3 linked regions of the Xenopus tropicalis genome follow. The protein of the gene in region 3 binds, or shares a complex with, the protein of the main gene of each other region. Links are inferred from orthologs where the notes say so. Each region holds a gene or a part of one and is shown on either strand. Other genes may lie near its edges.

The links. Proteins that work in one complex are often made in the same cells at the same time.
Region 1: the proteins of diaph1 (region 3) and pfn2 are in contact, whole or in part, in a crystal structure (PDB 2V8F), measured with the Mus musculus proteins. The link is inferred for Xenopus tropicalis from reciprocal best matches to the Homo sapiens genes DIAPH1 and PFN2. Residues at the interface, in NP_031884.1 of Mus musculus: Ile635, Pro636, Pro637, Pro638, Pro639, Pro640, Leu641; in NP_062283.1 of Mus musculus: Ala2, Gly3, Trp4, Ser6, Tyr7, Asn10, Ala28, Tyr30, Trp32, Arg108, Met131, Tyr134, Leu135, Ser138, Phe140.
Region 2: the proteins of diaph1 (region 3) and ppfia3 are in contact, whole or in part, in a crystal structure (PDB 4UWX), measured with the Mus musculus proteins. The link is inferred for Xenopus tropicalis from reciprocal best matches to the Homo sapiens genes DIAPH1 and PPFIA3. Residues at the interface, in NP_031884.1 of Mus musculus: Lys252, Ser255, Ala256, Ile259, Gln307, Asn310, Ala311, Thr314, Pro315, Ala316, Glu317, Arg322, Gln352, Cys354, Val355, Glu358, Gln359, Glu362; in NP_084017.2 of Mus musculus: Pro719, Arg720, Arg723, Leu724, Arg726, Met727, Ala728, Ala730, Leu731.

The regions. Positions count from the first base shown.
Region 1 is NC_030681.2:118,629,713-118,633,365, reverse strand, and holds the end of pfn2 (profilin-2), read right to left. Parts: intron 1,831-3,653; coding exon 1,638-1,830; intron 161-1,637; coding exon 63-160; 3' UTR 27-62; downstream 1-26. UniProt on the Homo sapiens protein: Binds to actin and affects the structure of the cytoskeleton. At high concentrations, profilin prevents the polymerization of actin, whereas it enhances it at low concentrations. By binding to PIP2, it inhibits the formation of IP3 and DG.
Region 2 is NC_030683.2:117,906,872-117,910,524, reverse strand, and holds part of ppfia3 (liprin-alpha-3), read left to right. Parts: intron 1-1,661; coding exon 1,662-1,743; intron 1,744-1,831; coding exon 1,832-2,032; intron 2,033-2,256; coding exon 2,257-2,319; intron 2,320-3,346; coding exon 3,347-3,373; intron 3,374-3,653. UniProt on the Homo sapiens protein: May regulate the disassembly of focal adhesions. May localize receptor-like tyrosine phosphatases type 2A at specific sites on the plasma membrane, possibly regulating their interaction with the extracellular environment and their association with substrates.
Region 3 is NC_030679.2:27,682,376-27,686,028, forward strand, and holds part of diaph1 (protein diaphanous homolog 1), read right to left. Parts: intron 2,647-3,653; coding exon 1,921-2,646; intron 1,066-1,920; coding exon 951-1,065; intron 1-950. UniProt on the Homo sapiens protein: Actin nucleation and elongation factor required for the assembly of F-actin structures, such as actin cables and stress fibers. Binds to the barbed end of the actin filament and slows down actin polymerization and depolymerization.

The sequences.
Region 1 (3,653 bases), on a different chromosome or scaffold from region 3:
AGTTTAGTAGCAATAATGTTTGTTTGTTTTTTTAAACCCCTAGAATGTAAGTCAGCCTAGAATTAGAATCCCATATCTCTCAAGTATTTTGCCATTGCGAATGTCTTTTTATTCAAGCCGCCTCCGTGGACGCCTTCCTTGCCCATTGCAAAAACCAAGACTGAAAAAGAAAAAAAGAAAAAGATACAATGAGATTGTGCTCAGCAATCAGAATGTTGTATATTATACACATAAATATATTATATTTAATTATATATATATATATATATACATATATATTTGTCCTGTGATTCGGTCAAGATTTGTTTTTTTTTTTGTTTTGTTTTGTTTTTTAGGTGGATGGGGCTGAATCCACATGCCTGGCCAACGTGCCATACAGAGTAGCTGGCTTTTAAAGCTTTGGTGAGGGTCCTTCAGGGCATGGGATATCCCAGTGTGTGCTGATTTGGATAATGTCCAGGAAAGGAAAATAACGTACAATTTGCCCTTTTCTTTACAAGTGAAACAACATAGTTACACATGTAAACATCCCATGGTGCTTTGTGTTTAAGATTCCAGCTAAACTAAAAAACTGTCATGTATGAAAATAGTCTGCACATTTACAGTCCCCCGCCAAAACCACCTGCCTCATATGGGTACTAGCGCTCAGTGTGCCCATTCCCTTGTACATTGAATTGCTCATTATACTGAACAGGAATTTGTTTTGATGATCAAACTGCTCCATCTTGATTGGAAATAAAGGGCAACTGAACTTTGTAGGCCACATCCTAAACTCACTGCAGGAGATATTTTGCACCAACTTGCAGTTTTAAGGGACTGTATATCCCCTTGTACAACATGCGTTCAATCAATAGGGGTTGTGCCAAACCTACTTTGTGCATTGTCACAGACAATCCCTGCAGAATAAATGGGAACAGAGAACTATGGAGATCCTTTCTGATGAAGAGGTGGTTTACCCCTCTACTTAAATATGCCCCCCAAAACTTAGGCAGCATGTAAAGCCACAACACAAATATTTTAGCATGCAACCCCACAGAGCCTTTTCCCAGTTACATAAATCTAGCAAATACTAAAAACTGCTCCTCATGTTGGCTGTGCTGTAGCCTTAACCATGCTGGGCAAGTCTCCCAGCCACAAACAGCCATCTGGTGTAATACATGTACATATTTATAGAAATAAGGATATTTAGATATTGCCTGGATGCAGGTATTCCTCTTGGCTATAATTACAGATGGGATAGCAGGTCTTCTTGTTATAGGGGACCTGTCCCCATAAGAAATAATTCCAAATCCTTTTTTATCATGTTAGTCGAGCAAAATAAAGTTTACTTACGTTATATAAATTATTTATTAAATGTTGTTCCCTTTAGTCATGGAATTCAAAATAACAGCAAGCAGGCTGTGCCATTTTGTGTACACTATTATCAAGGCAATCTTGTTTATGCACCATAATAGGGAACCTGATGCACAGGATGAGAAGTGCAGTAACTTCTTGTTGTTTGAAAAATATAAAATAACATTGAGGCCTTTATACTCAAAGAGGTCCAGTCCAACCTCCAACAAAATCCTTTCTGCAAACCCAGGCTTAGCAACACAGAATCAAATATACACACACACTAAGGCACCACAAGACCTTACCTCTTACGGCTTTTCCTACAGCAATATTGTATGTTGGTTCTCCTCCTTGACTCTTTGTTCTGATGTCCATTGTGAAATCGTTATCAATATAGAGGCTGTCTCTTATAACAGAGCATTTCTTTCCTCCCACAGTTAGGCCACCAGTAAAGAATCCTTCTCTGTCCTTCCCTATGAGCACATCAATTTCTGCAGGCTGCCGGAACAAAGTACAAAGCCATTTGTTTGTTATTGACGATTGCATCAATTTTCTACAAATTCTATAAGTTACTATAATAAATACACGTAATTGTTTAGATTCTGTCAATGGGACATATACTTCCTTGACACAACCATAAAAATATTGGGAATGTGTAACCCAAGCACCCCCTGCTGTACTGTCAGGGCATGGCCACAATGACCAACAGAACTGAGCAGAGAGGCCTTTAGTGTCTAAAGCAGAAGGGGGCACTTGGGCTAAACATAAAGGGAGCATAAAGCATAACTCAAAACCCCTTTAGACTTGAATGAATAATATATGGTCCCAGTTTCAGTTTCTACACTAAAAATTATCTTTAAAAACAACCACATTATTGAAGCTGCCCATAGATTCTCTTTGGTCCGTGCGTTTCAAATGAGTAGTGGATATGTCCTAACAATCCTTGGCAAAAGGGCAATCATGCATTTCACCCAGGCAAAGGCAGGAATTCTGGGGGGGGGGGGGGAAGCACTGCACTGTGGGAAAAAACATGGCGATTGCACTCAAAGTTTTACTTTGCTCACTGCACATTTCCACATGTGCAGGATGAAAAACATTCAAATATAACCCTAAGCTTGAACAAAGCACCCTCTTGCTAAAAAATACCAACAAATTTAACATCAGCAAATGCATAATAAAGGTTACACTGTTCTCCCCATAACACTGAAGAAAAAAAACAAAAAATATAACCTTGGAGCTGCCAGAAGCCATTTGTAATTTATACAACATTGCTCGTGTGTTATAGCTCCCACAGCCAAAGGACCCATTACTGGGCCGTAACTGGGCTGCAAGTGGAACTTAAGCTGGCCATACACGCACCGATAATATTGTGTGAAACCTCGTTTGTACGATATTTGGTGCGTGTATGGCAACTCGACGAGGCGACCGATATCACAGAAGGCTGTGACTCGCCGATCGGGCGCCATTGAAGGCGCCTGAGCAAAATTTGCCTTCAGGGCTTAATCGGCAGAAGGAGGTAGAAATCCTATTGTTTTTACCTCCATATCAGACGATTCAGCCCTGAATGTCAGTGGAGGGTTGGAACAATCTTTAATGCGACCGATGGTCGCACGAAAGATCGAAAATCGCCACGTGTGTGGTTCTCTTTCATTGCAATCTGAGCCAGGATGTTACACTCTGCTCTTTGTTCAGTGGAAACGTTTACTTTAAAATTAACTGAAGATGGGGTAAATATATATACAAGGAGAAAAAAAAATGTTTTTCTTCATAGATTCTTGTACTGCTTTTCCCCACACTGTAAAATACTGCCTGGTTAAGTTGCAGACTGAGACAGATTGTTAAACTTCATTTGTATTGTTATGATTTATACATCTGTATTACTTCTATTTAGGCCAATGCCAGACGGTGCTGCAGATAAACTCAGGCCAAGAATCAGCCCCTACGCTGGCATCAGCCTTTCCCTGTGCCTGCACTCTGAGCCACTACATCAGCTGGGGTGCAGGCACACTGAGTGGATTTCAGTCAGAACATGCGAGTATGCAATTCTGAGCCAAAATCCACTCCGTGCCCCTGCAACTCAGCTGATGCGATGATTTTGGGTGCAGGCAGAGAAACAAGTGGATACCAGAATCAGTGACCCTAGCAACGTTATAACAAACTGCCACTCTCTACAACATCCTATCCATTGGCACACTATGTAAGGCTAATGACAGACGGAGCTGACTCGGGCCTGTGGATAAAGCAGGCAGAGGATCGGCCCCTACACTGGCATCAGCCTTTCCCTGTGCCTGCTTCCAGAGCCATTGCATCAGGCCGGGTGC
Region 2 (3,653 bases), on a different chromosome or scaffold from region 3:
GAGTCCCAAGCCGGACTTGGATTTCTTACTATTGAGTGCTATTCTGATACCTACTGGGAGCTGCTATCTTGCTCCCTTCCCATTGTTCTGCTGATCGGCTGCTGGGGGTGAGGGGGGGGATATCACTCCAACTTGCAGCACAGCAGTAAAGTGTGCCTGAGTCTGAGCTTTCAGAAGGAGCCAGTGCTACACATTAGAACTGCTTTCAGCTAACCTATTGTTTCTCCTACTCCCATGGAACTGGAGGAGTCACAAGCCGGACTTGGATTTCTTACTATTGAGTGCTATTTGATACCTACTGGGAGCTGCTATCTTGCTCCCTTCCCATTGTTCTGCTGATCGGTTGCTGGGAGGGGGGGGATATCACTCCAACTTGCAGCGCAGCAGTAAAGTGTGGCTGAGTCTGAGCTTTCAGAAGGAGCCAGCGCTACACATTAGAACTGCTTTCAGCTAACCTATTGTTTCTCCTACTCAGGGTATGGTCAGTACGACCTAAGCCGCATATAAAGGGGTTTCTCCAGCCAGGGTGCTATTCTTATGTCTAGGTACCACTAGCACAAGTCACATGGCTGCAGGCACCTGGGAAAGTAAGAACGTAGCTAGCATTATGTCAGATTTCAAAATTAAATATAAAAAAAACTGTTTGCTCTTTTAAAAATCTCAGAATTCTGCCAGAGCAGTCCTCATAATTTTGAAAAAAAAAACCTGTTTTCCCATAACAGTATTTACAAATACTAAGGGAACACTGGAACAGCCAGGTCCAGCCTGATGGTAATTACAGAGTTCCGTTACCTGTAACATTTCAGAGTATGTACCAGCCTGCAGTGCAACAAACACCCCATTAGCCCCTAGATTGGTCAGTAGGACCAGCATGGATAGAGTTAATATTAAATTACACTTCCCCTGTAAATATCTAACAGGTCTTGTGTTTTCTGACAAAGACGCATCCGGCCTGATATATATATGCATCAGCGCCCAGGTGTGAATTGCAGCAGTGAGTCACAGCATTACTTGTCGTGCCATCTTGCGCCGCTCGTTTTCCCTTTTTCATAACCTGCTGTGGGAACGCAAGGCGCCCGAAGAACTTAATTGGTCATGAGTTTTTCCCTGTAAAATGACAGTTTTACATGGTTATCAAGAGAATTGTCATCAGGCCCAGACTGGCAATCTGTGGGTTCAGGCAAATGCCAGAGGGGCTGCTGTAAGATGCCATAGACACTCACTATTTATTGGGCTGGGGGGGGGGGGGGCTGTTTGGGCCTCTGTGTATTTGAAATGTCAGGGCCTGTTTTGAATCCCAGTCCAGATCTGTCATATATAACTTGGACTATGGTTATTGAATCTTTAAGATACAGATTTATGCCACTCTAATGATGCCTGTAATTAATATTATTGTGCTTACAGCATTCATTCAGGCTTATGGTCTCCATGTTGGGAACCATCATTATAACCAAATCTTTTTCAACCACTGGAGCCCAAAGAACCACAAGTGACCGGTATTGCCACTGGAAACTGTTCGGTGGAGGTGCTGTTTTTGGAACTGGAAGGCTCTAAAATCTTTGTATTTTTGATGAACATTGTGTCTCCTAGACTTGGTGGTGTAGAGCAATGGAGGTGGTTTGGCTGCCCCTGATGGTGTTTCTCTTATGTTTGCCTTACAGGCATGAACTGCTGGAAGAAGCCTGCCGGCAGGGACTTCCTTTCGCTGCCTGGGATGGACCCACTGTTGTTTCATGGTTGGAGGTAAGAAAAGTTATCTTGTCTTCAGTTAGTCCTTTCCTACGTCGTTGTCACAGTCAATAAACTTGTTTCTCGTCATCTTATCTCCCAGCTATGGGTAGGCATGCCCGCCTGGTATGTAGCAGCTTGCCGTGCTAACGTAAAAAGTGGAGCTATCATGGCCAACCTTTCTGATACAGAAATCCAGCGGGAGATTGGCATCAGCAACCCCCTCCATCGGCTGAAACTGCGCCTTGCTATCCAGGAGATGGTATCGCTCACTAGTCCCTCCGCACCGGCCACCTCACGTACGGTGAGCGCTCACAGCACTTTATGTAGCACATGAAGCAAAGGAGCAGCTAATGGCATGTTATGCCATGGTTTGTCCAACATGGCTGACATTCTAATATTCCTAGCAGTCATTGGCCACGCTTGTCAGGCCCAGTTCTTTATTATTCACATTACTGGTTTTATTTTTGTTTCATGCTTTATCTTGATTTGCCCCTTGATCACTGTTCTATTATGTCTTCTGTCCAGTCGACAGGTAATGTGTGGATGACCCACGAAGAGATGGAGACCCTGACAGCAACCACTAAACCAGTACGTAGACGACTTTTCCTGGGTTTTTAATAGAATCGTGTAAGTTCATGTTCAGTATAAAGTAGGGGTGCACCGAACCTACCCAGAAGGATTTGGCCGAATTCAGATTCGGTTCGGCTGGGACCGCAGATCCGGCCAAGACCGAATCCTTAAAAAAAGCCGAATCCGGAATTTGGTGCATCCCTAGTATAAACCAAACAAAGCAAAAACACTCAAGAGCTTATCCCAGTATGATATTATACTAATAAATGTGCGGTCATAGATATAGATAAAAGGCAAAATTTATTTTCATCCATGCCAGCATAGATACTAACTCCCCCCTAAAAACAAAGCTAATGCCAATGAGAGGAGGGGCCCCTCACAATCAGTTGACTAATTAATCATAAGCAATATATTATTTCAATATAACATACATATGCCTTTCACTATATACCACAATTAAGAGCAATAAAAATCAATGAGTATAAAACAATTGAATCTCACAAAATTTGACCATATGTATGGTATATAGTAAAAGTTATATGTATGTTGTGTTGAAATAATATATTGCTTCTGATTAGTGAGCCCATGGATTGCTAGGGAGGGGCCCCTCCTCGTATTGCCTTTTATCTATATCTATAATCACACATTTATGATATATGATGTTTTTGCTTTGTTCGGTTTAAGTAACATATAAGAAAGAAGGCAACTTGGTTCACAATTATCTGCTATAGGTTTGACTGATAAAAAAACACCCAGTAAGGTATTTCGGTTTAAATTCATGTAAAGTTGCTAACAAGGAGACACTTTGCTGCACATTTATATAAGTATTAGATAGGAACAACCAGTATGTCAAATTGATTGGTGTTACTTGTCCTAAGTACCTTTACTTTCTTGTCTGTGATTTCACATTATGTCTTGGATTCATTTTCCTTTGCTTGATACTTTAGCACGTTCTGCTTCTGTGCACATAATCTTGCTACTTGTGCGACTAACAGCTTAACTCTGAATCTTTCTTCTTTATCCTTCTTAATTTAACCACTGCCAGGAGACTAAGGAAATCAGCTGGGAACAGGTAGGCTTATCACCAGGAGTGCCTTTGTTCATTTATTTATTTATTAGCACAACCAGCATTTGCTTCTAGAGGTGCTGTATTGGTTCTGTATTTGTTATGGGATGATAATAATATAGCCAAGTGATTTGGCTCCACCTATGGCCATTGTGCCAATGAGCATAATGGTTCAATCAGGTGTTCCTTCTTGAAGAAATAAAACTGTCTTTTGTTTAATTTACTTTAAAGAATAAGTAAACATTTTTTTTAAATCTCTAAAATTACTCTCAGCAACCCAGGGGCG
Region 3 (3,653 bases):
TAGGGACCACGGGTATTCCGGATAAGGGGACTTTCCTTAATTTGAAACTCCATACCTTAAAGAATAAGTAAACCTTTTTTTTCTATCAGTAAAATTACTCTAAACAGCCTACAGAATTAACTACCTTTGTCCCAGCATTCTCTCTGACCTGGTTCCTCAGAAGTTAATTGTTTTTCTTTGCTTCCTTGTTCAGAGTGAAGCCCCGCCCCCACTTCCTGTTCTGGTCTCTCATAAAAAAAAAAAAAAACCCTGCTAATGCACAGACTGGCTCCTGCTGCCTCCAGGCATGCCCAGAAGGCTCTCCAGGTCGACTACAGATAGTCGAATTGAAGAGAGACCTGAACAGGAAGTGGGGGCGGGTCTTCACTCTGCACAAGGAAGCAAAGAAAACCGATTAACTTCTAACTGAGGAACCAGGTCAGACAGAATGCTGGGACAAATGTAGGTAATTCCAGAGGCTGTTTAGAGTAATTTTACTGATAGAAAAAAAAAGGTTTACTTATTCTTTAAGTCAACAAAAAAAATCAATAAAACATTAAATAAACTCAATAGGCTTGTTTAGCATCCAATAATGATTACTTATATATTAACTAGAGTCAAGTGCGAGGTACAGTTTATTACTACGGGGAAAAGGGTAATCATTTTTCAAATTCTGAATTATTTAATTAAAATGGAGTCTATGGGAGACGGGCGTTCCATAATTAAGAGCTTTCTGGATAACAGGTTTCTGGATAACGGATCCCATACCTTTATTAAGGAAGGGGTGGTACAAGTCTGAGGGTCAACCTTTCTTCTTTTTTTGTTTTCTACGAATTAATAATTACTTCATACGTTTTTAGAAAAATCTAATGTGCAAAAAAGTGACCCAAAAACTGTTTAGCAACCCGCCCATTTTTTTACAGATCTCAGGAATAACACACAAGAAATACACGGTATCTTGGCTCACTCACACTTGATCTGTGAAGAAAAAGTGAGGGTTATTTTTGCAAACAGCTCTTCTTTTTCAAAACGATCTTCTTTTGTCTGAGTCCAAAACGATTTCTCTGAAAGCTCAGCAGGAGTGATCTGGAAAAGTATTTACATGTTATATATTACCTGATCTGAACACCTTTCAACGTTTCACCAAATGAATGACTGGTAAAGAAGAATTCTCTGGATTGAACAAGGGGATAGCAAAGGATTAAGGACTTTGGGAAAATTGTGAATTGTCGTTTCCAAGAAAATAGCTTTGTGATGCTTACAGAAGCACAGGAAAGCAAGATATTTACTACAAAACTTAAACTAAAATGGGAATGACTGAATCTGTCTGTGTGCCAACAAAGCAGTTCTTACACTCAAATGTAGCTAGTTTCATGGAGAGGAACAGAATGATAAGGATTTCACAGATATGCACATTCATTATCTTTGTCCCAGTTCTTAAAAAAATAAATAAAGAACAGAGGGGATGTACAATTTAAATGACAAAAGAAACTCTGCCTATTTAGAGCAAGGTAATTATCCAATGCTTGCATATTTTATAGGAAATGTGATTATTAGAATGTGTGTTACCATGGTGATGGCTTCTTAATGCTTTCTACAAGGCAGAGGGCAGAAAACATTAAATAAACAATAAAAAAATGAAATTAAGTGAAATTAGAAGCAAGAGTCCATTAATCAGAGGCTTCAGGCAGAAGACAAAGGCAAGCACTGGAACTTCCTTGATGTAAGACAATTTTATACCATTAGAACTAGACAACAAAGTAAGAGAAGCATGTTCCAAGGAAAGTGACTGCTCTTGAGGGGGACACTTAAACCTCAATTGTTTGCACTGTGCATTAGATATTAAGCAATATGGAAATAATGATTGGAATAGTAACAACTTGAAAAATGTAGCCTATAACACCGCCCAATAAAAAACTGGTTGTATATTAGTTGACATACCTTTGACCAGTTGGGTCGCTTCAGTTGCACTTCTGGCTTATAATTCTTCTTAGGAGCCAAGCCAAATGGTAAGGGTGGTGGTGCCCCCCAGCCTCCAAGTCCTGGTGGTGGAGGAACACCACCTCCAAATGCTGGAGGTGGAGGTGGAACCCCAGGGCCACCAGGGAATGGAGGAGGAGGAGGAATTCCAGGGCCACCTGGAAATGGAGGAGGAGGAGGAGGAATTCCAAAGCCTCCTGGAAATGGCGGTGGGGGAGGAATTCCAGGGCCACCCGGAAATGGTGGTGGGGGAGGAATACCAGAGCCACCCGGAAGTGGGGGAGGTGGAGGAATACCAGAGCCACCCGGAAGTGGGGGAGGTGGAGGAATACCAGAGCCACCCGGAAGTGGGGGAGGTGGAGGAATACCAGAGCCACCGGGAAGTGGTGGAGGTGGAGGAATACCAAAGCCACCCGGAAGTGGGGGAGGTGGAGGAATACCAAAGCCAGCCGGAAGTGGTGGAGCAATACCAGAGCCACCTGGAAGTGGGGGTGGTGGAGGAATACCAGAGCCACCTGGAAGTGGGGGAGGTGGAGGAATACCAGTTGCACCTGGAAGTGGAGGAGGAGGGGGTGGTGGAGGTGGCACATTTCCAGAGGCAGAAGGTACAGGGATTAAAACAGCAGATGTGGAAATTGATGCCATTTCTTTTTTGGTAGCTTCAAGTTCCTTTGACAATTTTTCAACCTGCAGAAACCAAGCAATGCTATAATTAGATACATTTAACCACTACCTAAAAGAGACAATGGAAAAGAATTTGTTCTACAGCATACCTACAACAATACCTATAGATTTTAACATTTTAAATTAAGAGAGCAAAGACATGATTTATTAAGGTACTTGCCCATTCTGCATTAATAGGCTAAAAATAGCTGCCCTAATTTGCGCACAAACAGTATGCACAGACAAAACATGAAAATATGTTATTTTGCTGGTTCACCATGAATGTTACAGCAAGCTAATCAATCTCAGACATGCTGAAAAGAGAAGAGCATTTCTTAATTAACTTGCGACACTCTTCAGGGTGCACACAGAAGTTTTTAGCCAGTTTTAATAATTATGAATACTACATTCTCAGACAGAACAGTTGAGATATTCTAATACAGATTTTCTTTTCCTCATAATCTAATATTATGCATTGGAGTGGTTTATGCTTCAAAAAATGTGCACAAAGTGTAACTGGCTATTTCATTTATAATTATAACTCTCCCGGCCAGACGGTGCCTTAAGGGGATATACAAGTTAAATTTTTTGTCGGATTCCTATTTTCAACTTAATTGTCTCCATCACTGACTGAAGGGTAAAAAAAAAAAAAAAAAAAAATCTGAAGACCGAAGAATACAAAAAACTATCCAAAGGCCTGACAATGTACAGCCCAGATGTATACATTCGGTTTCTCTATCATTGCTGTGTCTAAATTTCATGTTCCTAGTATTACAGCTCATGTGCAACAGCCAAAAGTGTTTAATGTGCAACTAAAAACTTCCATTTGCAGAAACAGATAATCTATGCAGGGGGTGGGGTTACCCTCAACTGTGCTTTTAAATTGCAGTTTTGATGCTGCGGCAGAATACATTCATACAGTGGATATAAAAAGTCTACACACCCCTGATAAAATGTCAGGTTCCTGTGCTGTACAAAAATAAGACAAAGATAAATCATTTCAGAACTTTTTCCACCTTTAATGTGACCTA